Anolis sagrei: one gene and its partners. The protein of the gene in region 2 purifies or fractionates together with the protein of the main gene of each other region. This does not show direct contact. Links are inferred from orthologs where the notes say so. Each region holds a gene or a part of one and is shown on either strand. Other genes may lie near its edges. The genes, in order: GOLIM4, PTPRU and CLGN.

Region 1 (11,053 bases), on a different chromosome or scaffold from region 2:
TCTCACGTTGTGAAAGATCTGCAAGACCTGGAACACCTCACACAGCCTAAAAAGATTCAAGGCAAGGGACATGATTTGTATCCTTCTGAATTACATTTTATCCTGCTTCAATAACTGTATGCTTAATAACCTAATTATTCTGTATTACAGAATAATTGTGACTTGGTATCCACAAAAGCTCAGGTTGAAATGAAAATAAGTTAATTTTAAGAGTGCTGTTAAGATTCCTTTTTTCCTTTTTACACTGCAACATATTAATAAGGCTGATTCTTTAGAAACAACGTACCAAAGATTTCATATAAACATTGGCACCCTTGTTTGGGTGTGGGGAAATAATATGTAAGACTTGGCGAGGATCTTGTTCATTCTCTTAAGACATTGTTACATTATGCCATATTCTTATGGCATAATTAAAAAAAACCCTTCATGTTCTTTTTCCATGGCGAATTGGATATTTGGGTGGATGCTCTTCAGGTGGTCCAGGAACTTGTTTAGTTCTTCTTCTCCGTGGCTCCAAATGGTGGCTCCACATATCTGAAACATATAGTGTGCCTTTTTGTGGCTGTTTCCAGGGCTTGTTTTTCAAAAGTGTTCCATGTAGAAATTTGCTATGACTGGGCTGAGAGGGATCCCCATAGCTACTCCATCTTTCTGTTCATATAATTCATTGTCCCACTGAAAGTAGCTGGTGGTGAGGCAATGATGAAACAGAGCTGTGATGTCGTCCGGGAACTTCTGGTTGATTATTTTGATAGTGTCTGCTACCGGGACCATGGTAAATAGAGACACCACACCAAAGCTGATCACTTTGTTGTTGGTATTTAGAAAATGAAGGAAAATTGCCATTTCTATATGTCCTAGTCATCCATAAACCAGATCAACATTTGGGTCACACAGAAAACCTACACACACAGATACCTACATTAAAACTCCAATCATCACCCAAGTCAAAAAAGAAGCACCATTAAAGGCCTGACAGACCGTGCAAAAAGAATCTTCTAAACCCACCTCCTCCAAGATGAACCACCTCAACTGGGCTCTCCAGGCCAATGGATACTCCACCTCAGACATCAGAAGAGCTGCAAGACTGAGAACAAGCCACAAGAGTAAAGACAAAGATCCACCCAGAGGAAAAGTGTTCTTGCCATACATCAAGGGAACCACTGACTGCATAGGGAAGCTGATGAGGAAACACAACATACAAACTATCTACAAACCCACTAAGAAAATCCAACAAATACTACATTTAGCAAAGGACAAGAGGATCCTCTCTCCTCTGCAGAAGTCTATTGTATACCATGCAGCTGTGGACAAGTCTACACAGGGATCACAAAACACAGTGCCCAAACACAAATCAAGGAACATGAAAGGCACTGCAGACTACTTCAACAGAGAAGTCTGCCATAGCAGAGCATCCGATGAACTAACCTGGACACAGCATATTATTTGAGAAGAGAGAAATGCTGGACCACTCTGACAACTGCCATGTCAAGCTACACAGAGAAGCCATTGAAATCCACAATCATATGGACAATTTCAACAGAAAGGAAGAAACCATGAAAATGAACAAAATCTGGCTACCAGAACAAAAAAAAACTCTAAAATTATAAGAGTAAATAAGAAACAAAACTCAAACACAGAGAAACTCCAGCCAGGAAACAATCAGAAACACCTGGTCACCTCTCAACAAGGAAATTTCCCTGGCAGTAACAAGCCACACCTCAAAACTGTCAGGCCATCAAATGCTAATCAAGGTGGCCAATTGGAACAGTCACACCTTAGCTCCAACAGACAAGAGTTTTTTTTCTCCCACCCTGGACCTTCCACAGATATATAAAGCCAATTTTCCAGTTTCCAACAAACCTCCAAGGACACTTGCCACAGATGCAGGAGAGAATGCTTTTAGAATATAGCCATTCAACCCAAAAAACCTACAACAACCCAATGGGAATATAGATAATAATGAGGACTTTCATGATGCGGGCTCAATAAAGCTGTGGCAGAAAAGGCAGAAAATCCCACAATATTTGCTTTGAACTGGCATATATAGCAATGTGGACTCAGGGCCCTTCCATATAGCCCTATATCCCAGAATATCAAGGCAGAGAATCCCAACACATCTGCTTTGAACTGGAGTATCTCAGGCCCTTTCCACACAGCTGAATAAAATCCCAGATAACCCAGCTCAAAGCAGATATTGTGGGATTTTCTGCCTTGATACCCTGGGATACAGGGCTGTGTGGAAGGGCCTTGGGTTATCTGACAAATGCAATATTCCAGCCAGCACGTCAATGACTTAAATCAAGAAATAGTTTTCTAAGATCTACAGAGACACTCGCTGGAACACCTCAGAAAGCGAGAGTCCAAAAGTGGCAGGCTCAAACCCAGAACCTCAACCAGTGGCTGGTACCAAATGAGAGACTCCCCCCTGGGCACACAGAAAACTGGGCAACTTGGAAAGTGCTGAACAGACTGCGCTCTGGCACCACGAGATGCAGAGTCAACCTTAAGAAATGGAGCTACAAAATGGAATCCACGACATATGAGTGTGGAGAAGAGCAAACTACAGACCACCTGCTGCGATGCAACTTGAGCCCTGCTACATGCACACTGGAGGACCTTCTTATAGTAACACCAGAGGCACTCTAAGTGCCCAGCTACTGGTTAAAGGACATTTAATCAACTACCAAGCTTGCAAACTTTGTTTTGTTTTGTTTGTTAAAATGCAATACAACTGTTTGGCTTGCTCCTGACACGATAAATAAATAAAATAAATACTCCACTTAGGCAGAAAAAAATGCAATGCAAAGATACAGAATGGGGGACGCATGGCTCGAGAACAGTACGTGTGAAAAAGATCTTAAGAGTCCTTGTGGACAACAAGTTGAACATGAATGCGGAACAATGGCTTCAAACTACGAGAAAGGAGATTCCATCTGAACATTAGAAAGAACTTCCTGACTGTAAGAGCTGTTTAGCAGTGGAACTCTCTGCTCCGGAGTGTGGTGAAGGCTCCTTCTTTGCAGGCTTTTAAACAGAGGCTGGATGGCCATCTGTCGGGGGGTACTTTGAATGCAATTTTCTTGCTTCTTGGCAAGGGGGTTGGACTGGATGGCCCACGAGGTCTCATCCAACTCTATGATTCTATTCTACGAGTAAACACTGCCAGAAACACTGCAGAAAATGTGGGATTCCATTCAGCTGTGTGGAAGGGGCCTCTGTGTACTTTGGGAAGCCAATTTCTCTCTCTCTCTTTCTCTTCTATAAAATTAAAAATGTAATGTTTGTTTGTGGGATTAACATAACTCAAAAACCACTGGATAAAATGACATCAAATTTGAGCACAATACATCTATCAGGCCTACGAGTGACCACCACTCATAAAAACACTGAAAAACACAGAAGAGACTTTAAAAGCCAAAAAAAATAAAAAACTCATTACAACGCATGTGCAAAACCACACATATAAACACAAACACACACACATATATATACACATATAGACAAATATATATACACACAAAACACATATACACAGACTCGGCCACAGCAATGCATGGCAGGGGATGGCTAGTTATTACCTATATAAATAAAAATGTAATGTTTGTTTGTGGGATTAACATAACTTAAAAACCACTGGGCGAATTGACACTAAATTTGGACTCACGACACCTATCAGGCCAATGAAACACTGAAAAACACAACAGAAGGGACTTAAGAAGCCAAAAAAAAAAAAGAGAGCAAAAAGACGCTACAGCGCATGTGCAAAAAAAAAAAAAAAACCTCCCCCGGCAAACGAAACACACAGTAGCATATCCACACTCTCTTCCAGACTACAGTTCCCAGCATCCCCTAGACCAGGTCATTTAGGAGAGGAGGGTTTTTGGTTTTTGTTTTCTTTTTGTTGTGTCAGGAGCGACGTGAGAAACTGCAAGTCACTTCTGGTGTGAGAGAATTGACCGTCTGCAAGGACGTTGCCCAGGGGACGCCCGGATGACTTGATGTTTTCATCATTTTTATGGGAAGCTTCTCTCGTGTTCCCAGATAAGGAGCTGGAGCTGATAGAGGGAGCTCATCCACCTCTCCCCACATTCAAACCTGCGAACTGTCGGTCTGCAGTCCTACCGGCACAGGGGTTTAACCCACTGTGCCACTGGGGGCTCCATAGGAGAGGAGGGTGATCTAGAGGGTTTATTTATTTATTTCTCATGTCAGGGCAGCCAGTCAATTATATTACATTTCTAACAGAACAAAGCAAACAAACAGACAAATACAAAACTTGTGAGTTTGGTAGTTGATTAAATGTCCTTTGACCAGTATCTGGCCACTTGGAGTGTCTCTGGTATTGCTGCAAGAAGGTCCTCCATTGTGCATGTGGCTGGGCTCAGGTTGCATTGCAGCAGGTGGCCAGTGGTTTGCTCCTCTCCACACTCGCATGTCGAGGATTCCACTTTGTAGCCCCGTTTCTGAAGGTTGGCTCTGCATCTTCTGGTGCCAGAGCGCAGTCTGTTCAGCGCCTTCCAAGTTGCCCAGTCTTCTGTGTGGGAGGGAGTCTCTCATTTGGTATCAGCCATTAGTTGAGGTTCTGGGTTTGAGCCTGCCACTTTTGGACTCTCGCTTGCTGAGGTGTTCCAGCGAGTGTCTCTGTAGATCTTAGAAAACTATGTCTGGATTTAAGTCATTGACGTGCTGGCTGATACCCAAACAGGGGATGAGCTGGAGATGTCTCTGCCTTGGTCCTTTCACTATTGGCTGCCACTTCCCGGCAGATGTCAGGTGGTGCGATACCGGCTAGACAGTGTAATTTCTCCAGTGGTGTAGGGCGCAGACACCCCGTGATAATGCGTCATGTCTCATTCAGAGCCACATCCACTGTTTTAGTGTGGTGAGATGTGTTCCACACTGGGCATGCGTACTCAGCAGCGGAGTAGCACAGCGCAAGGGCAGATGTCTTCACTGTATCTGGTTGTGATCCCCAGGTTGTGCCAGTCAGCTTTTGTAAGATATTGTTTCTAGCACCCACTTTTTGCTTGATGTTCTAGAGGGTGATCCAATGCACTTCTTCGAAGCTGCAAGCTATCTTCTCCTTGGATTTGAGAGCATTGCAATCCCTGCATATTTCCAATTCCCTATTCCTGGACTGCAGCTCCCACCAATCCTCCAGAATAGATCAAATAGAGATAGGTAGGTAGGTAGATTGATCAGGAGGACTGCTGGGAGTTGCAGTCCAAGATTGGGTAGAGAACTGGGAGAAAGAGGAAGAGAAAGAAAACTGGGGGGAAGGGAAGAGAAGGAAAGAGAGAAGGAAAGGAAGGAGAGTAAGAAAGGAAGGAGAGAAAGAGGGAGAGAATGCTGGCCACAGAAACGCGTGGTGGATACAGCTAGTATATATATATGTATTTCTAATATTACTGTTGCAATCTTTGGGGAGCTTGCAACAGTAGATATTTATAATATATAAACAAAGATCTCTTCTCGGTAGGGCAGGGAGGGTATTGCAGCCAGACGCGTGCACTCCCCATGCGTTCAAGCCTACAGAGGAAAGACCAAAGAAGCAATAGACAGAGAGAGAGAGAGGGGAGGCGCGTCTGCCCGCCCCTCGTGGAAATCCCACGCGCCGCCCCCTTCCTATGAGTTCCAGACTGGAATGGGAGGGGAGGGGGAGCGGGGCTGGAGCGTCCGAGACGGACAAGGGCAGCATCCAATGGGCGCCGTGGCTGCCCCTCGGGGAGGAGGGGAGCCAGGAGGGGCTTCGCCCAATGAGGCCGCGTCCAGAGCGGGACTTCCTTTGGGGAGGGAGGGGGGAGGAGGCGGGAATCCCGCAGTTGAGCCGCGGAGGTGACACGTAAGTGCGGGGCTGGAAGGCGGCCAGGGCGACCCAGGAGGAGGAAGAGGCGCCCCCTCCCACCCAAGGGGAAAAGTTGCCCTTGAGAGAGAGAGAAAGGAACTTTTAGCCTGAGGGGGGAGGCAGAGGGAGGGGGGAAGCCCCGGTTGGAGAAGGGGTCTCCGGGAGGCAGGCAGCTAGGAGCCCGCCTGCAACAGGAGAGAGACAAGAAGGGGGCAAGTCAGGTGGGCCAGCTGGCCAGGAACAAAAGAGACCTTGGGGGCCATAACCTTGGGATTTGCCCTTAGGAAGCCCCTCCTCATAAACAAAAAAGTATTTTCCTAAAGAGGAGAGATCCAATCTGGGATGCCTTCTCTCTCCTAAGCATCCTAAGTGGATAGAGTCCCATCCAAAGGGCAAGAAGCATTGAGAAGAGCTCAGCTTCAGCCTCCTTTGGCCTGACTCTTCTTCACTGGCCACTTTGCCCTGTCTGCAGGATGGCCTGAGATGCCTGGCGAGGCTTGAGGCCAAAGGGGTTATAGTTAGGGCCAGGGTCTATGGCCCAAGCTTGTTTCTTCTGGTGGCCTCACTCCTGGTGCCCTTGCCCCATGCGGAGGGTTGCCTAAACACTGAAGTCTAGAGGCGGACAAGCTCCTGGATTCCCCCAAGGGAAGGACTATGGGCAACGGGATGTGTTCCCGAAAGCAGAAGCGCATCCTGCAGTCCCTCTTGCTCCTCACCGTGGTCTTCGGCTTCATCTACGGGGCTATGCTCTACTACGAGCTGCAGAACCAGCTCAAGAAGGCGGAGGCCGTTTCCATCAAGTACCAGCAGCACCAAGAGGCCCTTTCAGCACAACTCCAAGGTAAAAGAAGTTGCCTCTCTCTGATCGACCAAAGCTCCACCCAGGTCCTGGCATCTGGAAGGTCTACCACAGTGGTTCCCAACCTTTGGGCCTCCGGGTGTTTCAGACTTAAGCTCCCATAGTTCCTGACAGCTGGTAAGCTGGTTAGGATTTCTGGGAGTTGAAGTCCAAAACACCTGGAGGTCCAAAAGTTGGGAACCACTGGTCTACAAAGTTCTTTTCATCTTGAGGGTGCATCCACACCAGGCATGGGCAAACTTGGGCCCTCCAGGTGTTTTGGACTTCAACTCCCACAATTCGTGAGAGTTGAAGTCCAAAATACCTGGAGGGCCCAAGTTTGCCCATGCCTGGTACAGTTTGGCATCACTTTAACTGCCATGCCTCAGTGCTGTGGAATCATGCGAGTTGCAGTTTTCCAAGATGTTTAGCCAACTCTGCCAAAGAGCTATGACTCACATGATTCCACAGCATTAAACCATGACAGTTAAAGTGGTGTTGAAACACATTATTTCCACAGTGTAGATGCAACCTTAACACCCTCATCCAACTTTTATAGCCCATGTGTCAACACTTGTTATATAGCCCATGTGTCAACACCTTTATAGCCCATGTGTCAACACCTGTTGCTCCAACCTCTGCTTATGTATGTACAATTACACACTCTTTGAAAAAAGTTAAACAACTCGGGGAGTAAAAGTAGAGTTGCAAATACATTATCACACATCATTGTTTCTATTTACCATAACTTCCGGTCTGAATTTGTGTTTGTGACTAAATGAGTCAATTGGTGATAGAACTGACCACATTTATACTGATCACTTAATGCAGTTAGAAGACAGCTTGACAATGTTTAGATGATGCATGTGAGAAATGTGTGAAGGAATGCAGCATAAGGGCTTTAAACAGAAATTAGCGAAGTCCAGTGATATTCTTAAATTGGGCCCATAATGTGAATCAGTATGCCTAAGTGTAAACCACATTGCATGGCGAAACTGTGTGTTGTTCCACACATGTGAATTGTGATGTTAGATCATAGAGTTGGAAGAGATCCCAAGAGCCATCCAGTCTAATCCCCTGCCATGCAAGAACATACAAACAAAACACCTCAAAAGATGAGCAACTAGCTTCTGCTCAAAAGCCTCCAGAGAAGGAAACTCCACCACACTCCCAGGCTCTTACCATGAGGAAGTTCTTAATGTTTAAACAGAATTTCTTTTCTTCCAGTTTGAATCCATTGCTTTGTGGGTTCCAACATGGCAGTGAAGTCACAGATACTGCAGATCCTGGAGCCAGTTTGAGACCAACTTTGGTGGTGCATATAAACACAATCCAGGCCTTGAACTGGTTCCAGAATTTATAATCATCTGTGCAGTGAAATTGTTACCTCCTCAGTGGTAACAACCTAAGTGGTCAGTGTAACTGTACCCTTAATTTAGAATGGTCTTGCCAAACCATTGAGAGATGGTTGAGAACGAGGGCCCCATCTACACTGCCCTATCATGCAGTTTTAGAATTAAGTTTAACTGCAGTGAGCTGGATTATATGAGTCTACACTGCCAAATAATGCAGCTCAACTGCATCCTGAGACTGCAGTATAGGACAGTGTAGATGGGGCCTAGATGTGCTGAACATGGTTGAGAGCTGTTAAATCAGGGTCTGTCTAGATTCAGCATTTTTTCCCATAACATTCTTCACATTCCCACGAGCTCTGCGCTGCTTGATAGGCATCTTTGAAAATTCAATTTGTTTCCTGTAAAGCAGCGGGTGTGGAATGAGTGGCCAAGACAGATTTATCAAAGGGGCATTTGGAGCAAGTGCACCATAGCACTTCATGATTGCTGTTGCTCGACTCATGTACATACTCTTGTGCTGAGTTGTCATAAAGTCTAGGGGAATTGGGAGAGGGAAGTCTTTCTCTGCCCCTTTACAGGGTTTGGCAGCAGTTAGTACCCACTTCATTTCCATTTTGTAGCTGTAGAAGTGAGTAAAGAGCCTGAGACCACTGCTTCTGAGTTATTGGTTTAGTCATGCTGACTGGTTCAAGGGGGAAATGCCCAGACTTTGCCCCTTTTCAGGCCTGAACAGGTCACAGGGATTGTTGTTCTTTGCCCAGCAGTGGCATTATGCCTAACTCACTCAAAGCCCAAAGCCAGGCATCCAATGCAGGTATGCCTCCTTCTGGAGGGTTTTACTTTTTGGAACTTTTCTAGAGCAGTGGTTCTCAACCTTTGGGTCCCCAGGTGTTTGGCCTACAACTCCCAGAAATCCCAGCCAGTTTACCAGCTGTTAGGATTTCTGGGAGTTGAAGGCCAAAACATCTGGGGACCCACAGGTTGAGAACCACTGTTCTAGAGTCTCACTCTAACTTTTTTGGCCCTTCATGTGCTTTTGGAGTCCAACTTTCTTTAGCACCAGTGAGTGTGTCCAGTGATTGATAAAGATGAAAACTGTATTCCTAACAACTTCTACAGAACTAAACAACTTCTTTAATGCACTAAAGTCATCCCAGCCATCGCCACATCCTGTAGTGAAGGATTCGAATATTTAATGTTGCACTCTGCAAAGAATTTCATTTCAATCAGCTCTAGTAGTTGAATAATGCTGATATCTGATAATATTCAAGAGGGGATTTTTGATTCATTTAATGCTATTCATAATTTAATTAATATATTTTGTACCATACTTCTATTATTTTGATTTGTAAAGTCCACTTTTATTACATTTATTGAAACATATTTAAGCCACTCTTCATCCTGCTGGATTCCAGGGTGATGTAGAAAGAAATTTAAAATGATCTAATATATTTTAAAAAGCTTAAACAAACAAAAATGGCAACAGACACAATAAGACAGAATCAACTAACTAAAATGACTTGGCAATCAGAAATTTATTTTTTATTAATAATTTTTAATCTCTAAAAATAACAGCAAATCCACAAATAGACAAACCAAGAATATAAACCATAAGACAAAATTCAAAAACAAAAGCAGCAGAGATACATTTTTAAAATATTTATTTATTTACCCTATTTATATATTGCCTTTCTCAACCCCGTAAAGGACTAGTCACACCTTTTGTAGGAAGGGTATTTCATAGTTGGGATGCCACAGCAAAAATGCCTCTTTGCTTATCTCGTACATCCTGCATGCAAGCAGTAGCTCCAGGTGGAGGTGTCTTTGTAAAGGGAGCGCTGGCATCAACTCTACCTTATCTTGATGTTTTTGCAGAAAGAGCTGGGCATGTTTCCTGGAGTCACTGCTACTAATTTGTGTGGCACAACTGGTGGCATAATTGACATGGTCTGGGGGAACAGACACATGTGGCATGCAACAGTAGCAGGAGGAAGAGCAGACTCCGAGTGCCACTCTCTCCACTGCCTTGATGGCTTGGCCAACTCTTGCATGAACCCTCCTCCCTCTCACCCCTCTTATAGTGTCTGTTAAAAATAATGTGTGGCAGCAAATCATCTGTGAATAACTACATTTGTGGAAGTTAAACCCATAAATATAAAATGGTTACTATATTATTATACAGTGTTGTTCCCAACATAATTATATACTGTGATAATTGTGTCATACCATATATATGTCACACATATGTGCTATGCAATATCTTGTGTCTGTCTGTTGTTGTTCATTCGTTCAGTCGTCTCCGTCTCTTCGTGACCTCATGGACCAGTCCACGCCAGAGCTCCCTGTCGGCCGTCACCACCCCCAGCTCCTTCAAGGTCAGTCCAGTCACTTCAAGGATGCCATCCATCCATCTTGCCCTTGGTCGGCCCCTCTTCCTTTTGCCTTCCACTTTCCCCAGCATAATTGTCTTCTCTAGGCTTTGCTGTCTCCTCATGATGTGGCCAAAGTACTTCAACTTGTGTCTGTTATATAACTGTAAATCTATTGATACTTATAAATTAACCCAAATGTTGTAGAACCCAATTCCTTGGAAAAGTTCCTTTTTTGTGACAAACTTGACATCAAATTACTTTAGGTCCTTTGGTGGCAGCCCTTTTGTCTCGCACTTTACTATTCCTGCAATCTTGGGCAGAATGAAATGAGAATTGATGAAGCACCCGGTGCACTATCATATGTGACTGGCATACTTTGTTGTATTTGGCAGATTAGACATTGCAGGCTTGCAATTCCTTACCTTCAGTTTGTTTCCAATCACAGTTTTTTTTTCCTGAAAAAAAATTGTTCAGAGTAAGCTTGCATTTGTGTCAGGAGTGACTTGAGAAACTGCAAGTCACTTCTGGTGTGAGAGAATTGGCTGTGTGCAGGGGATGCTTAGATGTTTTTGATGTTTTACCATCTTTGTGGGAGGCTTCTCTCCCAAAAGGATGACCCTACATGGGGAGTTGGAGCTGA
Region 2 (10,393 bases):
GCCCTAGCAGTCCGGGGGGAGCCTCGGCTTTCTTGCCTCGCTGCCGGGCGATCCTCTTCCCAAAGGGGCCGGGCCCTTGAGCCTTGCCTAGCCCCTCTCGTTCCTGCTCCACCTGGCCACCGGAAGTGCAAGCAGAGCCGGCGCTCAATCGTTCTCCGCGTTCAATCCCTTCCCCATGACCGGTTACCTTTCCCGATCCCCTGGCACTCCACCCGCCTCCTCTCCTCCTCGTGGGTGGGCCAAGGGGTGGAGCCACCGCATCTGGCCCGCTTCAGGTCCGGAGGCATGTCTGAAGACCCCAGCGTGCGCAGCAAAATTCGCCTCTTCTCCGGATTTTCTCTTCAGCCATTGGGACCAAGAGAGAGAAAGAGAGAGAGAGCCCCTCCGGCTGGAGGTATTTCCCACCTCCGCTCCCTCCTTTGTTTTTGTGCCTACCTTCAGGAAAGGTGTGCATCTCCACCTCTGTCTCTCTCTCTCTTGGTCCCAATGGCTGAGGAGAAAGTCAGGAGAAGAGGTGACTGTTGGTGCACACAGTCTTCAGGCACGCCTCCGGACCCAAAGCGGGCCAGGCAAGGGAGCAAGTGCGGCAAGTGTAGTTACTGGGATGTATAGTTCACCTACAATCAAAGAGCATTCTGAATTCCACCAATGATGGAATTGAACCAAATATGGCACACAGAACTCCCACGATGAACAGAAAATATATATCAACTAGCCGTCCCCTGCCATGCGTTGCTGTGGCCCAGTCTGGTGATCTGGAAAATAAAGTAATGAGAAAGTGTTGGTTTCTAATATATGTAATGTCTTTATGCTTGTGGGTAAACAGTATTTCTTGTTCTTTCTTGTCAGTGTTGATGTGGTGATTGTCTGGTTTGCCTACTCTGGAACATGCAACATCATCCTTCTTTAGGGGTCCCTTTCAAATCTTTGATTGTCATATACATATGTGTGTGTGTGTGTGAATGGCTGGATGGCCCTTTGTCAAGAGGGTTTTGATTATGTTTTCTTGCCCTGGGGAAGGGAGTTGGACTGGATGTCCTTAAGGCAGCATTTCTCAACCTGGGAAGTCAAAACCTGGGGGGGGGGGGTTCACCAGGGGGGTGTCAGAATGGTTACCAAAGACCACCAGAAAACACAGTTTTATGTTGGTCATTGGGGTTCTGCGTGGGATGTTTGGCCCCAATTCCATCATTGGTGGGGTTCGGAATGCTCTTTGATTGTAACTACAACCCCCAAATGTCAAGCTATAGTTTCCCCAAACCCCATCTGTGTTTATATTTGGGCATATGGAGTATTCGTGGCAAGTTTGGTCCAGATCCATCATTGTTTGAGTCCACAGTGCTCTCTGGATGTAGGTGAACTACAACTCGCAAACTCAAGGTCAATGTCCACCAAACCCTTCCAGTATTTTCTGTTGGTCATGTGAGTTCTGTGTGCCAAGTTTGGTTCAATTCCATCGTTGATGGAGTTCAGAGTGCTCTTTGATTGTAGGTGAACTATAAATCCCAGCAACTGCAACTCCCGAATGACAAAATCATAATTTGTTGAGTGATGGTCACTCCTTGTGTTGTGAGACGTTTTGTTGCCAAATTTAGTGTGATTCTGTTTATTGGTTCTTTTGTTTTTAAGGTACTCATTATGCACAGACCATTTATATATATAGATAGATAGATGATTGGTTGGGGGGGGGCGCCAAAATACTTTTTGCTTGTTGTTGTTCATTCGTTCAGTCGTCTCCGACTCTTCGTGACCTCATGGACCAGCCCACGCCATAGCTCCCTGTCGGCCGTCACCACCCCCAGCTCCTTCAAGGTCAGTCCAGTCACTTCAAGGATGCCATCCATCCATCTTGCCCTTGGTCAGCCCCTCTTCCTTTTACCTTCCACTTTCCCCAGCATAATTGTCTTCTCTAGGCTTTGCTGTCTCCTCATGATGTGGCCAAAGTACTTCAACTTTGTCTCTAGTATCCTTCCCTCCAGTGAGCAGCCGGGCTTTATTTCCTGGAGGATGGACTGGTTGGATCTTCTCGCAGTCCAAGGCACTCTCAGAACTTTCCTCCAACACCACAGCTCAAAAGCATCGATCTTCCTTCGCTCGGCCTTCCCTAAGGTCCAGCTCTCACATCCGTAGGTTACTACAGGGAAGACCATGGCTTTGACTAGGCGGATCTTTGTTGCCAGTCTGATGTCTCTACTCTTTACTATTTTATCGAGATTGGACATTGCTCTCCTCCCAAGAAGGAAGTGTCTTCTGATTTCCTGGCCACAGTCTGCATCTGCAGTAATCTTTGCACCTAGAAATACAAAGTCTGTCACGGCCTCCACATTTTCTCCCTCTATTTTCCAGTTGTCAATCATTCTTGTTGCCATAATTTTGGTTTTTTGATGTTTAGCTGCAACCCAGCTTTTGCGCTTTCTTCTTTCACCTTGATTAGAAGGCTCCTCGGTTCCTCCTCGCTTTCGGCCATCAGAGTGGTGTCATCTGCATATCTGAGGTTGTTAATGTTTCTTCCAGCAATTTTCACCCCAGCTTTGCATTCATCAAGCCCCACACATCGCATGATGTGTTCTGCATACAAGTTAATAAGGTTGGGTGAGATTATTCAGCCTTGCCGTACGCCTTTCCCAATCTTGAACCAGTCTGTTGTTCCGTGGTCAGTTCTGACTGTTGCTCCTTGGTCCTTGTACAGATTCCTCAGGAGAGAGACAAGGTGGCTTGGTATGCCCATCCCACCAAAAACTTGCCACAATTTATTATGATCCACACAGTCAAAGGCTTTAGAATAGTCAATGAAGCAGAAGTAGATGTTTTTTTGAAACTCCCTGCCTTTCTCCATTATCCAGCAGAAACAACTACCATCCGGTCAGCCTCATGTCGATACTGGGCAAGATTCTGGAAAAGATTGTTAAGAAAGCGGTCTGCAAACACTTAGAAACAAATGCAGTCATCGCTAATAGTCAACATGGATTTATCAAAAACAAGTCATGCCAGACTAATCTGATCTCTTTCTTCGATAGAGCTACAAGCTGGGTAGATGCGGGGAATGCTGTGGATGTAGCGTACCTGGATTTCAGTAAGGCCTTCGACAAGGTCCCCCATGACCTTCTGGCAAGGAAACTAGTCCAATGTGGGCTAGGCAAAACTACGGTGAGGTGGATCTGTAATTGGTTAAGTGGACGAACACAGAGAGTGCTCACTAATGCTTCCTCTTCATCCTGGAAAGAAGTGACGAGCGGAGTGCCGCAGAGTTCTGTCCTGGGCCCGGTCCTGTTCAACATCTTTATTAATGACTTAGATGAAGGGCTAGAAGGCATGATCATCAAGTTTGCAGATGACACCAAATTGGGAGGGATAGCCAATAGTCCAGAGGACAGGAGCAGAATTCAAAACGATCTGGACAGATTAGAGAGATGGGCCAAAACTAACAAAATGAAGTTCAACAGTGACAAATGCAAGATACTCCACTTTGGCAGAAAAAATGAAATGCAAAGATACAGAATGGGGGAGGCCTGGCTTGAGAGCAGTACGTGTGAAAAAGTTCTTGGAGTCCTCGTGGACAACAAGTTAAACATGAGCCAACAATGTGATGTGGCGGCAAAAAAAGCCAATGGGATTTTGGCCTGCATCAATAGGAGCATAGTGTCTAGATCTAAGGAAGTAATGCTACCCCTCTGTTCTGCTTTGGTTAGACCACACCTGGAATATTGTGTCCAATTCTGGGCACCACAGTTCAAGAGAGATATTGACAAGCTGGAATGTGTCCAGAGGAGGGCGACTAAAATGATCAAGGGTCTGGAGAACAAGCCCTATGAGGAGCGGCTCAGGGAACTGGGCATGTTTAGCCTGAAGAAGAGAAGGCTGAGAGGAGATATGATAGCCATGTATAAATATGTGAGAGGAAGCCACAGGGAGGAGGGAGCAAGCTTGTTTTCTGCTTCCTTGGAGACTAGGACGCGGAACAATGGCTTCAAACTACAAGAAAGGAGATTCCATCTGAACATTAGGAAGAACTTCCTGACTGTGAGAGCCGTTCAGCAGTGGAACTCTCTGCCCCAGAGTGTGGTGGAGGCTCCTTCTTTGGAAGCTTTTAAGCAGAGGCTGGATGGCCATTTGTCAGGGGTGATTTGAATGCAATGTTCCTGCTTCTTGGCAGGGGGTTGGACTGGATGACCCAAGATCAGCCCCCTCGCTGATGGTATTCCGAAGAAGATTAAAAACCTGGATGTTCGAGCAAGCATTTGGTTAATTCGGTGCAATGAATGGGATGATTAAGGATTGGTAATATGGATGACGAAACTGGACCACGATTTTAGTTAAGAGATGCATTGAATAGTGATTTATGTGTCAACATTGTGTATTATGTTTTTTATGGTTTTAAATTGTATATTGTGGATTGTGTATTTTGTTGTAAACTGCGTTGAGTCGCCAGCTAGGCTGTACAGTAAATAAATAAATAATAAATAAAATAAAATAAATAAATAAGAGGTCTCTTCCACCTCTTTGATTCTATGATTCTATGATTGGCAATCTGGTCTCTCGTTCCTCTTCCTTTTCTAAACCAGGGCACTCATTATGCACAGACCATTTATATATATATATATAGATGATTGGTTGGGGGGGGGGGGGCGCCAAAATGCTTTTTGCTTTTTGTTGTTCATTCGTTCAGTCATCTCTGACTCTTCGTGACCTCATGGACCAGCCCACTCCAGAGCTCCCTGTCAGCCGTCACCACCCCCAGCTCCTTCAAGGTCAGTTCAGTCACTTCAAGGATGCCATCCATCCATCTTGCCCTTGGTCGGCCCCTCTTCCTTTTGCCTTCCACTTTCCCCAGCATAATTGTCTTCTCTAGGCTTTGCTGTCTCCTCATGATGTGGCCAAAGTACTTCAACTTTGTCTCTAGTATCCTTCCCTCCAGTGAGCAGCCGGGCTTTATTTCCTGGAGGATGGACTGGTTGGATCTTCTCGCAGTCCAAGGCACTCTCAGATCTTTCCTCCAGCACCACAGCTCAAAAGCATCGATCTTCCTTCGCTCAGCCTTCCCTAAGGTCCAGCTCTCACATCCGTAGGTGAGTACAGGGAATACCATGGCTTTGACTAGGCGGATCTTTGTTGCCAGTCTGATGTCTCTACTCTTCACTATTTTATCGAGACTGGACATTGCTCTCCTCCCAAGAAGGAAGCGTCTTCTGATTTCCTGGCCACAGTCTGCATCTGCAGTCATCTTTGCACCTAGAAATACAAAGTCTGTCACAGCCTCCACGGTTTCTCCCTCTATTTTCCAGTTGTCAATCATTCTTGTTGCTATAATCTTGGTTTTTTTGACGTTTAGCTGCAACCCAGCTTTTGCGCTTTCTTCTTTCACCTTGATTAGAAGGCTCCTCAGCTCCTCCTCGCTTTCGGCCATCAGAGTGGTGTCATCTGCATATCTGAGGTTGTTAATGTTTCTTCCAGCAATTTTCACCCCAGCTTTGCATTCATCCAGCCCCGCACATCGCATGATGTGTTCTGCATACAAGTTGAAAAGGTTGGGTGAGAGGATGCAGCCTTGCCGTACGCCTTTCCCAATCTTGAACCGTTGACAATTACCTAGGGCCGCCTCTGATTGTGAGTCCTGGGGCTGTCCTGCTCCTCGCTGGGCCAGCAGGGGGCGCCCGCTCCTTTCCCAGCCCCCTCCCCAAATCCAAATCCAACCCCACGGGCCCCCGCCCCGCCCCCTTCGCTTCGCCTGGGAAGCCTGACGTCACTTCGCCGCGGGGGGTTGGCTGTTTTTTTGGGTTGGTTTGGTGCGTGCCTGCGGAGGAAAGGCTCGGCTCCGGCTTCTCCGCCCGGAAGGAAAGGCACAACTCGGAGTCCGCAATCTCGGAGACCCCGCGCCACACAGGAGATCAAGGCGGATCATTATCAGAGTCCACACTGCCATCCAATCCCTTTCAGTTTGGCCTTGGGGCAACTTTGTGGGAAAGGCCTGCAAGCGGAGAAGATTGCGGAAGGAGAAGTCGGGAAGGAGGAGGAGGAGAACTTTTCTTGGCGGCTCGGCATGCAGGGCAACGCCGCCCGCGCCGTGCTCCTCGCGCTCGCCCTCCAGCTCTGCTCCGCCGAGACCGAGGCGCCCGCGGGAGGAGGAGGAGGAGGAGGAGCAGGTCAGTCCCTTCCCCCCCCTCCCCCTCCCTCTGCCCCTGCCCTTTCGGCGCCCTTTGGGGAAGGGGCCCACCTTCCCTCCCCTTCCCTACCTTCCCCATTCCTCCCGGTCTCTCGGGGCCCCCTCAGTACCTGTTTGGCCACCCACAAGATCTGCTTGGAGCTGGGTTATCTGAGTCCACACTGCCACATTTTATTTATTTATGTATTTACTTTATTTGTATACCGCACTCTCTCAGCCCGTAGGCGACTCAGTGCGGTTTACAACCAGGGCAATATACAAAGGTGCACAACATTAGCATTAGCATTTCAAAACAGTAACTAGAGCAGTGTTTCTCAACCCTTGAGGGGGTCGTGAGGGGGTGTCAAAGGGGTCGCCAAAGAACATCAGAAAACATAGTATTTTCTGTTGGTCATTGGGATTCTGTGGGAAGTTTGACTCAATTCTATTGTTGGTCGAGTTCAGAATGCTCTTTGATTGTAGGTGAACTATAAATCCCAACAACTACAACTCCCATATGTCATAGAATCATAGAATCAAAGAGTTGGAAGAGACCTCATGGGCCATCCAGTCCAACCCCCTGCCAAGAAGCAGGAGTATTGCATTCAAATCACCCCTGACAGATGGCCATCCAGCCTCTGCTTAAAAGCTTCCAAAGAAGGAGCCTCCACCACACTCCGGGGCAGAGAGTTCCACTGCTGAACGGCTCTCACAGTCAGGAAGTTCTTCCTCATGTTCAGATGGAATCTCCTCTCTTGTAGTTTGAAGCCATAGTTCCGCGTCCTAGTCTCCAAGGAAGCAGAAAACAAGCTTGCTCCCTCCTCCCTGTGGCTTCCTCTCACATATTTATACATGGCTATCATATCTCCTCTCAGCCTTCTCTTCTTCAGGCTAAACATGCCCAGTTCACTAAGCCGCTCCTCATAGGGCTTGTTGTCAAGGTCTATTTTTCCCAAACTCCACCAGTGTTCACATTTGGGCATACTGAGTATTCGTGCCAAGTTTGGTCCAGATCCATCATTGCATGAACCCACAGCACTCCTCTGGGCATAGGTGAACTACAACTCCCAAACTCAAGGTCAATGCTCACAAAACCCTTCCAGTGTTTCCTGTTGGTCATGGGAGTTCTGTGTGCCAAGTTCGGTTTAAATCCATTGCTGGTGGCGTTCAGAATGCTCTTTGATTATAGGTGAACTATAAATCCCAGCAACTACAACTCCCAAATGACAAAATCAATCCTCCCCTCAACCCCACTAGCACTCACATTTGGGCATATTGCGTATTTGTGCTCACTTTAGTCCAGTGAATGAAAATGCATCCTGCATATCGGATATTTACATTACAATTTATAACAGTAGAAAAATGACAGGTATCAAGTAGCAACAAAAACAATATTATGGTTGGGGGTCACCACAACATATGGAACGGCATAAAGGGGTCACGGCATCAGCAAGGTTGAGAACCACTGAACTAGAGCAACTAAATCACATAACAATACATCAGTACATCAATATAACAACAATACATCCATATAACTAATCCATCACGTCTCATCAATAAAGTCATAATCCAATCTCCTCGTCCATTATTCCAAGTTCCAATCTCAATCAATTGATTGCACTGCTTAATTAAACGCCTGTTCAAAGAGCCAGGTCTTCACTCTTCTCCTGAACGCCAGCAGGGAGGGGGCCGATCTAATGTCTGCGGGAAGGGCGTTCCACAGCCGAGGGGCCACCATTGAGAAGGCCCTGTCTCTTGTCTCCATCAGTCATGCCTGCGAGGCTGGCGGGATCGAGAGCAGGGCCTCCCCGGACGATCTTAATGTCCTAACTGGTTCATAGGGGGTGATGCGTTCGGACAGATAGGTCGGGCCAGAACCGTTTAGGGCTTTAAAGGCTAAAGCCAGCACTTTGAAATGTGCCCGGTAGCAAATTGGCAGCCAGTGGAGCTGGCGCAACAGAGGAGTGGTGTGCTCCCTGAATGCCGCTCCCGTTAGCAACCTGGCTGCTGCGTGCTGGACCATCTGAAGCTTCCGAGCAGTCTTCAAAGGCAACCCCACGTAGAGAGCGTTGCAGTAGTCTATACGGGATGTAACCAGTGCGTGGACTACCGTGGCCAAGTCAGACTTCCCAAGGTACGGGCGCAGCTGGCGCACAAGTTTTAATTGTGCAAATGCTCCCCTGGTCACCGCTGAAACCTGGGGCTCCAGGCTCAGCGATGAATCCAGGATCACACCCAAGCTGCGAACCTGCGTCTTCAGGGGGAGTGTAACCCCGTCCAACACCGGCTGTAACCCTATAACCTGTTCGGCCTTACGACTGACCAGGAGTACCTCTGTCTTGTCTGGATTCAGTTTCATCTAGTTCAGTGCTTCTCAACCTTCCTAATGCCACGACCCCTTCATTCTCATGTTGTGGTGACCCCCAACCATAAAATTTGTTCCCTTGCTGCTTCATAACTGTCGTTTTGCTGCTGTTATGAATAGTAATGTAAATATCTGATATGCAGGATGTATTTTCATACACTGGACCAAATTCGGCACAAATACCCAATACACCCACATTTGAATACTGGTGGGATTGGGGGAGGGTACTGATTTTGTCCTGTGGGGGTTGTAGTTGTTGGGATTTATAGTTCACCTACAATCAAAGAGCATTCTGAACTCCACCAACGATGGAATTGAATCAAACTTGGCACACAGAACTCCCATGACCAACAGAAAATACTAGAAGGGTTTAGTGAGCATTGACCTTAAGTTTGGGAGTTGTAGTTCACCTACATTCTGAGAGCACTGGGGTCTCAAACAATGATGTATCTGGATCAAACTTGGCACAAATACTCAATATGCCCAAATTCTGAACCTCGCCAATGATAGAATTGTGCCAAGCTTCCCACACAGAACCCCCATGACCAACAGAAAAGGCTGTCTCAGTTCTTGTGGGTTTTTTCGGGCTATATGGCCATGTTCTAGAGGCATTTCTCCTGACGTTTCGCCTGCATCTATGGCAAGCAGGCGAAACGTCAGGAGAAATGCCTCTAGAACATGGCCATATAGCCCGAAAAAACCCACAAGAACTGAGTGATTCCAGCCATGAAAGCCTTCGACAATACACAGAAAAGGCTGTGTTTTCTGATGATCTTTGCGACGCCTCTGACACCCCCTCGCGACCCCCCTCGGGGTCCCGATCCCCAGATTGAGAATCACTGATCTAGACCAAACTTGGCACGAATACTCAATATGCCCAAATATAAACATTGGTGGAGTTTGGGGGAAATAGACCTTGACATTTGGGAGTTGTAGTTGCTGGGATTTATAGTTCACCAACAATCAAAGAGTATTCTGAACCCTACCAACGATTGAATTGGGCCAAACTTCCAACACAGAATCCCCATAACCAACAGAAAATACTGTGTTTTCTGGTGGTCTTTGGTGACCCCTCTGACACCTCCTCGCGACCCCTCCAGGGGTCCCAACCCCCAGGTTGAGAAACACTGATCTAGTTCAGTGTGGGTTAGATCAAGCGGGGTATAAGTCTGACTTGGCCACGGTGGTCCACACTCTTGTTACATCCCAATTAGACTACTGCAATGCGCTCTACGTGGGGCTGCCTTTGAAGACTGCCTGGAAGCTTCAATTAGTCCAACGGCTGCTCACCGGAGCGGCATACAGAGAGCATACAACTCCTCTGTTACGCCAGCTCCACTGGTTATTTATTTATTTCTATACTAGCTGTCCACTGCCACGCATTGCTGTGGCCCAGTCTGTTGATCTGAAAAATAAAGCAATGAGAAAGTGTTGGTTTCTAATATATGTAATTTCTTTATGCTTGTGGGTAAACAGTATTTCTTGCTTTGTCAGTGTTGATGTGGAGAGTGTCTGGTTTGCCCACCCTGGAACATGCAACATACCATTGTCCTTCTTTAAGGGTCCCTTTCAAATCTAGGATAGTATGTCTCTGTGTGTGTGAATCATATCTATCTATCTATCTATCTATCTATCTCTATATCTATGGCTGGATGGCTCTTTGTCAGGAGGACTTTGATTACGTTTTCTTGCCCTGATGGAGTTGGATTGGATGGCCTTAAGTATCTTCTTTTGGTCATGGGGGTTCTGTGTGGGAAGTTTGCTCCGATTTTGTCGTTTGTGGGGTTCAGAATGGTCTTTGATTTAGGTGAACTGTGAGTCCCAGTGACTACAACTCCCAAATGTCAAGGTCTATTTCCCCCAAACTCCATCTGTGTTCATATTTGGGC
Region 3 (11,030 bases), on a different chromosome or scaffold from region 2:
AGAGTATACATTCAACACTCATGCATGCAAACAATGACAAATTCCAAAATTCATAGTTATACCTTCATGGACCAACTAAAAATTACACATACACACAAATCACACAAGCTTTCAAAGCATCGCTAACTTCTTTGTCAGGCAAATGTATTAAAATCATACAGGAGAAGAAGAAAATAATGGACTCATTTCTCAGAACCATGACACCTTAGTGCACAGGTTAATTCATATGAAAATCACTCTTTCTTGAGTTTATTATCAAAGGCTTTCATGGCCGAAATCACTGGGTGGTTGTAGGTTTTTCAGACTATATGGCCATGCTCTAGAAGCACTCTCTCCTGATGTTTCGCCTGCATCTATACTAGGCATCCTCAGAGGTTGTGAAGTCCTCTGGTCAGTCAAAAGGCTGAACTTAAACTTCAGGGTGAAAGTGATTTAATTCTTTGTGTAAGAATCTCATGAGCCTTTAATGGCAACAGAATAGGAAAGTGAATGGATCTGTCACAAAGTCATCTGGGATGCTGTCTAATTGAACATATCAGATTCTGTGTATAGCTATAGATGTCGAAGCGAAAGAATGAAAAATGGTCATAGAAGCTTTCTACTTTCCCTGAACTGAAATCAATGGAAATCGCTTTGGGAAATGCAGTTTGCATTGATTTCAGTTTGAAACTACAATTCACATTACAATACTTAAGGTTTTCAAAATTCGCCAATGCTTTTGATAACAATCTCAGGTTTTGTGAAGGTATATCCAGTCTTTTACCACAAAGTAACATCACAATTAGTAATCTGATCCATGCAGATCTTTATAAACTAGGAGGATCCAAAACAAATATTTTAATTGGCGACACGTTTAGAGTTTCAGTCCATATCCTGGCCATCCTATGGCCACTGAGCAAGTTCTATTCTTCAATTTCCCCACTTCCTCACACGTGTTTATTTTTGAGGATCTTGGGGTTACCTTAAGCCTGTTAATATCTACCTGTTGTAATGGCTGGTGACTTTTGGCTGCATAAAAGCAGGTACTCAGGTAAATGAATATACATTTAACTTTTATCCCACTCTTCTGCAAAAAGGTTCTATGTGATTCTTGCCGATTTCCCCCCAATTTTATCTTCACAGCAAACCTGGGATGTAGGTTCAGAAGTTGGCCAAGATGCTTTGTGGCCAAGTAATAGACAAACCCTAGTCTAATACAACAAGCCCTGTTTGTACCCTATGACGACAGGAACTCCCGGTGGCGCAATGGGTTAAACCCTTGTGCCAGCAGGACTGAAGACCAACAGGTCTGAGGTTTGAATCCAAGGAGAGCGTGGATGAGTTATTTTCATAGATTCTCTGGGATTTTATGTCAGTATTTGTTGGTTTTATGAAGGCATTGAATGTTTGCCGTTGTTATGGTGGAATCCGCCCTGAGTCTCCTTGGGGAGATAGGATGGAATACAAACAAAGTTTTTAATGTCATTATTATTATTTGAAACACAACAAGATTAGTACACAGCAAACAAGGTCACTATGCTGGCTGTTGTATTGGATCACATGTCGGACACGCCCAAGTGTCTAGGACTGTGTGATGTATCGGCGAATAATGCATGCAGATCCCAGTAGGGTGGCTTTTTGCAGCTGACAGATGGTAATTTTGTCAGTGCTGATTGTGTATAACTGCAGACTAAAGTCTTTAGGCACTGCACCCAGTGTGCCAATCACCACTGGGACCACCTTTACCGGCTTGTGCCAGTCTTTGCAGTTATTGTTGTTGTTGTTGTTATTATTATTATTATTATTATTATTATTATTGAGGAATCCTTTGTTAGGAGGCACTAACTGGCCCCGATTCATTCTTGTCTTACTCAAAAAGCAGGGGAATACCAGAGGAGAATCAATCTCCCACCCTGGACATTCCACAGATACATAAACCTCACTTGCCTAGTTTCCAACAGACCTAACAACCTCTGAGGGTGCCTGCCATAGTTGTGGGCAAAGCAGCAGAAGAGAATGCTTCTAGAACATGGCCAGAAAACTCACAGCAACCCATTACAAATATGATTTGAAAATATTTATTGAACAATTTCAAAAAGCAAACCTTGATTTTTCTGTTGAAATTGTCTACATGCTTGTAGATTTCAGTGGTTTCTCTCTATAGTCTGAGGACGCCTGAATACGAGGGACGCCATTGCATATAAACATGAAATTTTGGTATACTCAAGAGCCCCGTAATTAAACCCCAGTGAATATCAAGGGCACATTATATCCTATTCAATTCTCTTACCAGACTGTATGTAGTAAGACTAGAAATTGGATTAAAGGGTGCATCTATAAGAGCCATGAGCCAACTTGGGCCCTCCAGGTGTTTTGGACTCCAACTCTCAGAATTCCTAATAGCCTCAGGCCCCTTCCTTTTCACCCTCTGCCGCTTAAGTGGAAAAATATTGGACACTCAATTAATTTAGAGGATTGGGAGAAAACATGGAACAAGAAAATGAAATATACTTATGCATCTAATTTAAAAGAAAACTGGCTAAAAATCACACCTCAGAAACTGGCAAAATGCTACCCAGAAATCAACGATAAATGCTGGAAGTGCGAAGAACAAACTGCCTCTTTTTATCATATGTGGTGGACATGTAAAACTTCCAAAACACATTGGAAAAATATCCACGAAAAAATAGAAAAGATACTGGATATAAAAATGGAATTAAAACCGGAATATTTTCTTCTGGGAATAATTGACTTCGAAATAGAGCTAAATAAAGATTAAATTTTTCAACTACCTGGTGACGGCGACCAGAATAAATTATGCAAGAGTATGGAGAATGAAAGAGATTCCATCTCAAGAGCAATGGTTAATAAATATTTTTAGATATTATGAGTATGGATAAATTAACCCAATGGATGAGCATAAAGCAGAATTTGAAAATTTCCAAAACAGACTGGATACCAATAAAGAACTATATAATGCAAGAAAACCTGAAATGGTAAATAGATCATATAAGATAATTTCAAGCATCAAATGCTCTCAGGATGAACCATAAGAAGGAGCTTGCCAAACTACCGTGATTGACTATCAAAAAAAGGAAAGAAAAGGAAGATACACCCGACGTGAAGAGGATTGGAAGTCAGACTGTATATTAACCCTAACCCCCCTAATCCCTTCCCTATCCTTCCATCCTTCCCACCCCCCCCCCCAAAAAACAGTCCCCTATCTAAATTTATTTATTTTTATTTCATATACTTCTACCCCGCCCTTCTCAACCCCCGAGGGGGGACTCAGGGCGGCTTACAAAATGGCACAATTTGATGCCCTCACAATAATACAATAAACGTATAAAAACAGCAGTTAAACGGTTAAACAATTAAAACAACAATATATATCACAGTCAATAGCCAATCTCATGCATGGCGTTCGCCAACTCAGAGTCCATACTTCGTTCCACATTGTCTATTCCTATCCGTCGTCGCAGTCCTTTATTTATCTGCCAGATTGCCCAAACGCCTGGTCCCACATCCATGTTTTTAATTTCTTTCTAAGAGCCGCTGCAAACTAGCCTCCTGTGGGAGCAAACTGTGCCAGCACGTCCCTGACGTCATGAGACTGTGCCTCTCTCTCCGCCCCTTTCTCCGCCTCTTTCTCCGTGCCAGAGTGGTTTTTCCTTTGCTAGGGCAGCATTGCCAGCATACTCTCGTTGTTGAATTCTGCCAACGAGAGTACGCTGGCAATGCTGCCCTAGCAAAGGAAAAACCACTCTGGCACGGAGAAAGAGGCGGAGAAAGGGGCGGGGCGAGAGGCGGAGTCTCATGACGTCAGGGACGTGCTGGCACGGTTTGCTCCCGCAGGAGGCTAGTTTGCGACGGGTCTAAAGGAAAGGAGGGATGTCGCTGATCTAATTTCCCCGGGAAGTGAATTCCATAGGTGAGGGGCCACCACTGAGAAGGCCCTGCTCCTCGTCCCCACCAATCTCACTTGTGACAGAGGCGGGGCCGAGAGCAGGGCCTCCCCAGAGGATCTCAAACTCCGAGGTGGGAGGTAGAGGGAGATGCGTTCGGACAGATACGCTGGGCCAGAACCGTATAGGGTTTTGTAGGTCAAAACCAGCACTTTGAATTGTGCTCGGAACTGGATCGGCAGCCAGTGGAGCTGACACAACAGGGGGGTGGTATGCTCCCTGTATGACGCTCCGGTGAGCAATCTGGCTGCCTCCCGCTGGACTAATTGAAGTTAATTGAAGTTAAATCTCTTCTTACCTTTTTCTATTCTCCTACTTTTCTATACCAAACAATTGTTCCCCCTGTTATTATTATATCTGAAAAACTTCAATAATATATATATATAGGAATTGTGAGAGTTGGAGTCCAAAACACCTGGAGGGCCCAAGTTGGCCCATGCCTGTTATAGATGCACCCTTCGGTTACAAACTAAGCAAGTACAAACCTAGGCCTGCCTTAAGCTTGAGGCACAGTCAATGCCCAAATCCTATTTTACGCTTTTGAGGAGGGGAAAAAGGTTTGTCGCCCGTGAGACGGAGACAAAACAACTATGAGCCGTCCTTGGGGAGACCTCGCATGCATCCGAAGGGCAAGGCGCGAGGCATTCAAATGAATGAGGGGGGAGAGGCCCGCCAACGGAACCATGGCGACCGCTTCCAGGCCCTCCTCCTCTCCTTCCTTCTCCCTCACGACCGCTCCCTTTTCGTTCCCCTTCCTCGCCCCGAGCAGGAGGCGCCCTGGGCCTCGCCTCGTCTCACCTCTCTCTCCCTCCTCACTGACAGGCCGCGACCGTTACCGCCCGTCAATCACGCTCCCCCCTCCGCACGCAGTCCTCTCGGCAGCGCATCCCCCGGCGCGCATGCGTCGCTGGTCCAAGCGCAGGTGCTTCGGCACGCGCCGCGCCGTCGCAACCAATCGCGATAGGGCGCTGAGAGGCTGAGCGAACCAATCGCAGGGAAGAGATTTTTTTTTCTTCTTCTTCTTAATTCCCTTCGGCTCACTTAACCCAACCCCGGATCGGTCCGCCGCTCGGTGACAAGGCGGCACGTGCCGGCTCGTCCAATCGGATCCGCCGTGGGGCGTGGCTTCATGAGCATCTCGCCTAATAAGAGCTCTGACTCAAGAGAGCGCGCCCAGTGGAGAGTCGACCAGGCACGAGGAGACTTCGGGCGTCTAATTGTTTTGGACTTGAAACTCCCACAATTCTTAATTGATTCAAATCCTTGATGATATTTATTTATACCCCCCACTTTTTCTCTCCACAAGGAGACTCAAAGCAGCTATTTGTTTTTGTGTCTACATTGAAGGAAGAAGTCCCACTTTCTTCTGCTTCCCTCAGGCCTCACCCAGGAATCCTGTGTTCAATTCTGGGCCCCACAATATCATGGCAATTTTTTTTTCGTGTTAGGAGTGAAAAATACATAAACAAATAACCATCCCACCAAAAACACACAGGAGTGACGAGAAACTGCAAATTCCTTCTGGTGTGAGAGAATTGACTGTCTGCAAGGATGTTGCCCAGAGGACGCCCGGATGTTTTGATGCATTCCAGAGCCAGGGGGCCACCACCAAAAAGGCCCTCTCCTCCATTCCCACCAGCTGCACTTGTGAGGGTGGTGGGACTGTGAAGAGAGCCTCCCCGGAGGACCTTAAGGTCTGATAGGTTAATAGGGGAAAACATAAATTCAATACTGGATTACATGACAGTGTAGATCTAGCCTAAGAGTCACCAAGCTTCACTGTGCAGTAGTGAACCTGAGTGTTTCTAGTTTGTTTGTGTGTGTGTGTGTGTGTCAGGAGCAAGGATGATGCCCAGGGGACACCCAGATGTTTTGATGTATTACCATCCTTGTGGGAGGCTTCTCTCATGTCCCTGCATGGGGAGCTGCAGCTGACAGAAAGAGCTCATCCGCGTTCTCCCTGGATTTGAACCTGTCGGTCCATTTCACAGCACAATTCAAAGTGCTGGTCCTGGCCTCTAAAGCTATATACGTCTCCGGCCCAGCTTACTTGTCCGAATGTATCTCTCCCTACATTCCACCTCGTAGTTTAAGATCCACTGGGGAGGCCCTGCTCTCGGTCCCATCAGCCTCACAAACACATCTGGTGGGGACGAGGGACAGGGCCTTCTCGGTGGTGACCCCCCACCTGTGGAATTCACTCCCCAGTGAGATTAGATCAGCGTCCTCCCTCCTTTCCTTTAGGAAAAAACTGAAATCGTGGTTTGGGAACCAGGCTTTTGACTAGCAGGCACAATGGCACTTTGGACATTGAACTGGACCATATGATTGTTATGCTAATGGAAACAGCTATATGACTGTATCATTCATGTTATTGTTTTTAATTTGTTATGTATTTATGGTTTTATATTGTTATTGTGATATTGCGGCATCAAATTGTTGTCACTGTGAGCCAATTTGACAATTTGAACTGAAAGGAGGAAACTATGAAAAGGAATAATATCTGTATATAAAAAACTCAGTAAAGAAAGAACAGCACTCAAAAGTGGGGAGTTCCAGACAAGAAACAATCAGGGACAGCTAATCACCTCTCAACAAAGGATTGTGCCGGGCAGGAAGTGGCCAAGCCTTGAAACTGCAAGACTATACCATGCTAATCAAGGTGACCTATGGCAGCATTTACACTTGCATTCACACACTCCACAGATATATAAACCTTACTTGTCTAGTTTCCAACAGACCTTACAACCTCTGAGGATGCCTACCATAGATGTGGGTGAAATGCCAGGAGATAATGCTTCTGGAACATAGCCATGCAGCCCGGAAAACTCAGAGCAAACCAATATTAACAATGTTTAATACTTTAAAATATTTGTATATTGTATATTTTAAGTTGTATTGTAATCTTTCAATTGTGAGCCACTTTGAGTCTTCGTATGGAGAGAGAAGGTGGGATATAAATAAGCATCGTAATAATACTGTTTGAATATTCATAGTTAAAAATATATAAAAATATCAACTGTTTGCAATGCTGTTTGCTTTAATTCTTGTTATTGGCCATCAAGTTGACTTTGACTTATGGCAACTTTGTGAATGAAAGACCTCCAATATCTCTGGTTGTCTATTGCCTTGCTTGATGTAGTTGTATCTTGCAGGTTTCATCCCAAATAGGGAATATGTGTGTGTGTGTGTGCGGGCGTGCCACACGAACCCAACAGAATGGAATTTTCCCTAATGCACCATGATGCTCCAAGAAACACTCTTTTTTTTTCAAAATAGTTTATCTTTCCATTCAAAGGGCTAACAGTCCCAACCCCATCCATATGGCACTCCAGTGTAACCATGGAGCAAGTTGCTATGGAACATCACCTGCTTGTTGCTGTGTACAGAGAAAAGTTCCCTATGCAGTTTCTTGGTGGCAGGAGCCTTGCTCTCCACATCAATATCCCTTAAGAGTTACTTCAGTCTAAGTTTTCAGGGCATCTTCCCACCCTCCTCAATGCCTTAAATTAATGACAGTTTAAGTTGCTGTACTAAATTATACATTAGGTGACAGATCTTATTAACCCCATTGTTCATTCTTTTTGAGCTCCTTCCTCAGAAACACATTCTTTCACTACCTATCTCATCCAGGATTTTTATCAATTTTATCCTAGTACATTTGGCCCGCCCACTGTGTTCAGTTTCTCTATCATGTAATTTTGAAACTGTTTATTTTGTTTTTTAATGTATTTATTTTGATGGTATTTTTGCTTCTTTGTATTTTATTTTGCTGTACTGTAATTTTGGGCTTGGCCTCATGTTAGCTGCCCCGAGTCCCCTTTGGGGAGATGGTGGCAGGGTACAAATAAATAAATATTATTATTATTATTATTATTATTATTATTATCTGTTGGCAATATTTTAGTTTTGGGTTCCCTCATTATAATTTTTTAAAGTCAGCTTTCAGACATCCTGTTGTGAATTTCATCCTGACCAAAAGTAAGAGGAAAGGATGATAGAATGTTAAATCCTACAGTGAAATGTGTGTTACTTTTCACATCTCTCTGCAACACAACTTGGAATGTAACTGAGAAAGTAGCATGCACATATTAGGCTAACAGTGGGCAACTTCTAACAGATGTGGGGATGGGGGGGGGGTGTTTTGTTCATACAGCACTAGGCAACCCATAACCAGAATAAAACAAAGATATAAGCCTGATCATTCAACAGTTAACTTACAGATCAGATGAGAGTGCTGCTCACTCATTCTGGGGAGGAGGCAAAAGAGTCCCTTGAATAAGCTTGGGTGGGAGTGCAGCTGAAAGCTCTAGAGGGGTTTTGTCAACTCAGTTCAAACCATGTTCAGTAGGGCATGGCTGCAAGAGCTATCAGGCTTCCCATCCCATCCCAAACTTGGCACACAGAACTTCCATGACCAACAGAAAATACTGTGTTTTCTGATGGTCTTTGGTGACCCCTCTGACAACCCTTTGCAACCCCTCCTTAGGAATCCTGACTCCCAGGTTGAGAAACGCTGCCCTAAACCGAGCTGAATATTTTTTTGGCTGTTTAATACTGCAATCCAGTGTATGTTTACTAAGAATAAGCTGCGTTTGACATATTGGAACTTGATTCTGTTGTAAATATGCTTAGGTTTTCATTGTTATGCTGCAGTCCTTTTGTATGTATGTATTATAAGCCCGAATGAACATAATTGCACTTGGTTATGAATAACAATTGTTCTCCAAATATCACTTCTCTCACTAGGAAGTCATGATCTTAGCCCCAACCAGAGTAAGGCCCATTGAATCAATGAGGGCGTGATAATAGTTCTAAAATAGATAGGACTATTTGATTTATAGTTTTGTAATGCAGTGACCAGAATGGTAGATTTTAAAAAATGAAACCTGGGCCCAGATCCACATTATCACCATGCCCATTACCACGTGGAGATACACGAGCACTTCAGGTAGCAACAGTGGCAGTCCCTGGTCATATGTTGCTACATATTTTCTGTCATCTTTTCAAAGGGCCCTCTACACAGCCATATAACCCAGAATATCAAGGCAGACAATCCACAATATCTGCTTTGGACTGGAATATCTGAGTCCACACTGCCATGTAATCCAGTTCAAAGCAGATAATGTGGGATTTTATTCAGTTGTGTGGAAGGGGGCTGTAGTCAGTTTCCCAATTTGAGGAGATACTTTCTCAGCTGTCAGTCCAGATGGCTTTGGTATTTGTCATGATAGCGGGAGCATTAACTTGTTTTTTGCATCAGAGAATGACCTACTCTTTTTCCACTGGAGAAGAACGAAGCCACCTGTATTTTCCCTTTACTTGGCTAAACATTGGTTTAAGAATAACATTTCAATTTGCTAGAACAATACCAGGTGAAATGATTAAATACTCCTCAGCTCAGCACTGCTGTTCCAATTCATTTTGAAGCATACTCCTCCACAAAAAGGAAATTAGGGGTCCATGTAACATCCCATATAGATTACTGCAACACACTCTACATGGGGCTGCCTTTGAAGACTATTCAGAAGCTTTAACTGGTCCAACAGGCAGCAGCCAGGTTGCTCACCGGAGCGATGGACATTGAGCACACAACTCCCCTGCTGCACCAGCTCCACTGGTTAACAGTCTGCTTCCGAGCACAATTCAAAGTGCTCACTTTAGCCTTCAAAGGCCTATACGGTTCTAGCCCAGCTTACCTGTCCAAATATATCCTCCCCTATGAACCACCTGAGAAATTAAGATAATCTGGGGAGACCCTGCTCTTGGTCCTGCTTTCTTCGCAAGCACACTGATGGGGATGAGAGACAGGACCTTCTCAGTGGTGGCCCCTCAGCTGTGGAACTCTCTCCCTAGTGACATCACATCAGCCCCCTCCCCCCTCACCTTCAGAAGGCAAGTAAAAACCTGGCTCTGGGACCAGGCTTTCGGATAATAGTGTAGTGCATAGGCATGGGCAATCCATGGTTCTAAAGTACTTACAAAACTAAAGTTCTGGTGGTGAACACTAGGGGGCGCTACTGCTTTGCTTCTACAGTGTTGCTAAAGTTCTGGTGGTGAAAATTTCAGAATTCTAAAAAAACCTTCAAAAATTTGTTATAAATGGCAGTTCTGTCATAAAATTGGCAATAATGAAATAATAATGAAATGTTGAAAATTTTGTTAGAGTTCTGAAATTTCACCATCAGAACTTTAGCAACACTGTAGAAGCAAAGCATCAGTGCTCCCTAGTTTTCACCACCAGAACTTTAGTTTTGCAAGTACTTTAGAACCATTTAGAACCATGGTTTGCCCATAGGATTATGTACAATTATTATCTGCCTCCCCAGACTATATTAATCTCTGAGATGATTCATAGGGGAGGATATGTTCAGACAGGTATGCTGGACCGGAACCATATTGACTTTGGACCACGATCTTTGGATGGCATGGTTTCAATGCTAAATGCAATCTTTAAAATGCTTAACTTGTATTAATTTTAACTCAACTGATTTTAAGTTTTTAATGTCTGCATGTGTTGCAAGGCATTTAATAATTATCGTATGTAAGCCACCTTGAGTCTCCTTTAGGGTAGGGAAAGGTGGGGTTTAAATGGAGTGAATAGGTAAATAAATAAATAACGAAGCTTTCAAATGATAAAACAGGCAGGTATTATTTTAGGATTGTAATGTCAAGAATACCCCAGGCAGCATGTTTAAAGCTTTTTCCATATTTAACTTGTAAGAATACTGGATGTGCTTCTTAAAATAATGATAAAATAATAATGCTCAAGTAATATGTTGCAATTATAAGGAGACTGAAAAGCCTGCAATTCTGATAAATAGTTTTTATTTTAAAAATGTTTTAAGTGTACTACTAATCAATCTCCAATTATGAAATTTACAGGACATTTTCCCAGTCTTCAATTGAATGTATTGCTTAGTTAGTGTGCATAGGATAGTTGCCTTATTATATTTGTTCAAACTATCAATATGCATTTTATTTACAAAACAGTCATTGACATTTAAATCGCTATGAGAAATATTTCAAATTCCGCATTTAAGATGTAATCAGATTCTTTTTAACATTAATAATACTCTATACAAA

Evidence for each region.
Region 1: the proteins of PTPRU (region 2) and GOLIM4 purify together in Homo sapiens (affinity purification with mass spectrometry; 3 studies listed by BioGRID and IntAct, counting the BioPlex papers as one, with this or other methods). This does not show direct contact. The link is inferred for Anolis sagrei from reciprocal best matches to the Homo sapiens genes PTPRU and GOLIM4.
Region 3: the proteins of PTPRU (region 2) and CLGN purify together in Homo sapiens (affinity purification with mass spectrometry; 3 studies listed by BioGRID and IntAct, with this or other methods). This does not show direct contact. The link is inferred for Anolis sagrei from reciprocal best matches to the Homo sapiens genes PTPRU and CLGN.

Annotation. Positions count from the first base shown.
Region 1 is NC_090023.1:250,643,466-250,654,518, reverse strand, and holds the start of GOLIM4 (Golgi integral membrane protein 4), read left to right. Parts: upstream 1-5,790; 5' UTR 5,791-6,502; coding exon 6,503-6,689; intron 6,690-11,053. UniProt on the Homo sapiens protein: Plays a role in endosome to Golgi protein trafficking; mediates protein transport along the late endosome-bypass pathway from the early endosome to the Golgi.
Region 2 is NC_090034.1:64,385,107-64,395,499, reverse strand, and holds the start of PTPRU (receptor-type tyrosine-protein phosphatase U), read left to right. Parts: upstream 1-5,707; 5' UTR 5,708-6,037; coding exon 6,038-6,140; intron 6,141-10,393.
Region 3 is NC_090025.1:45,312,144-45,323,173, forward strand, and holds the start of CLGN (calmegin), read right to left. Parts: upstream 4,967-11,030; 5' UTR 4,743-4,966; intron 1-4,742. UniProt on the Homo sapiens protein: Functions during spermatogenesis as a chaperone for a range of client proteins that are important for sperm adhesion onto the egg zona pellucida and for subsequent penetration of the zona pellucida.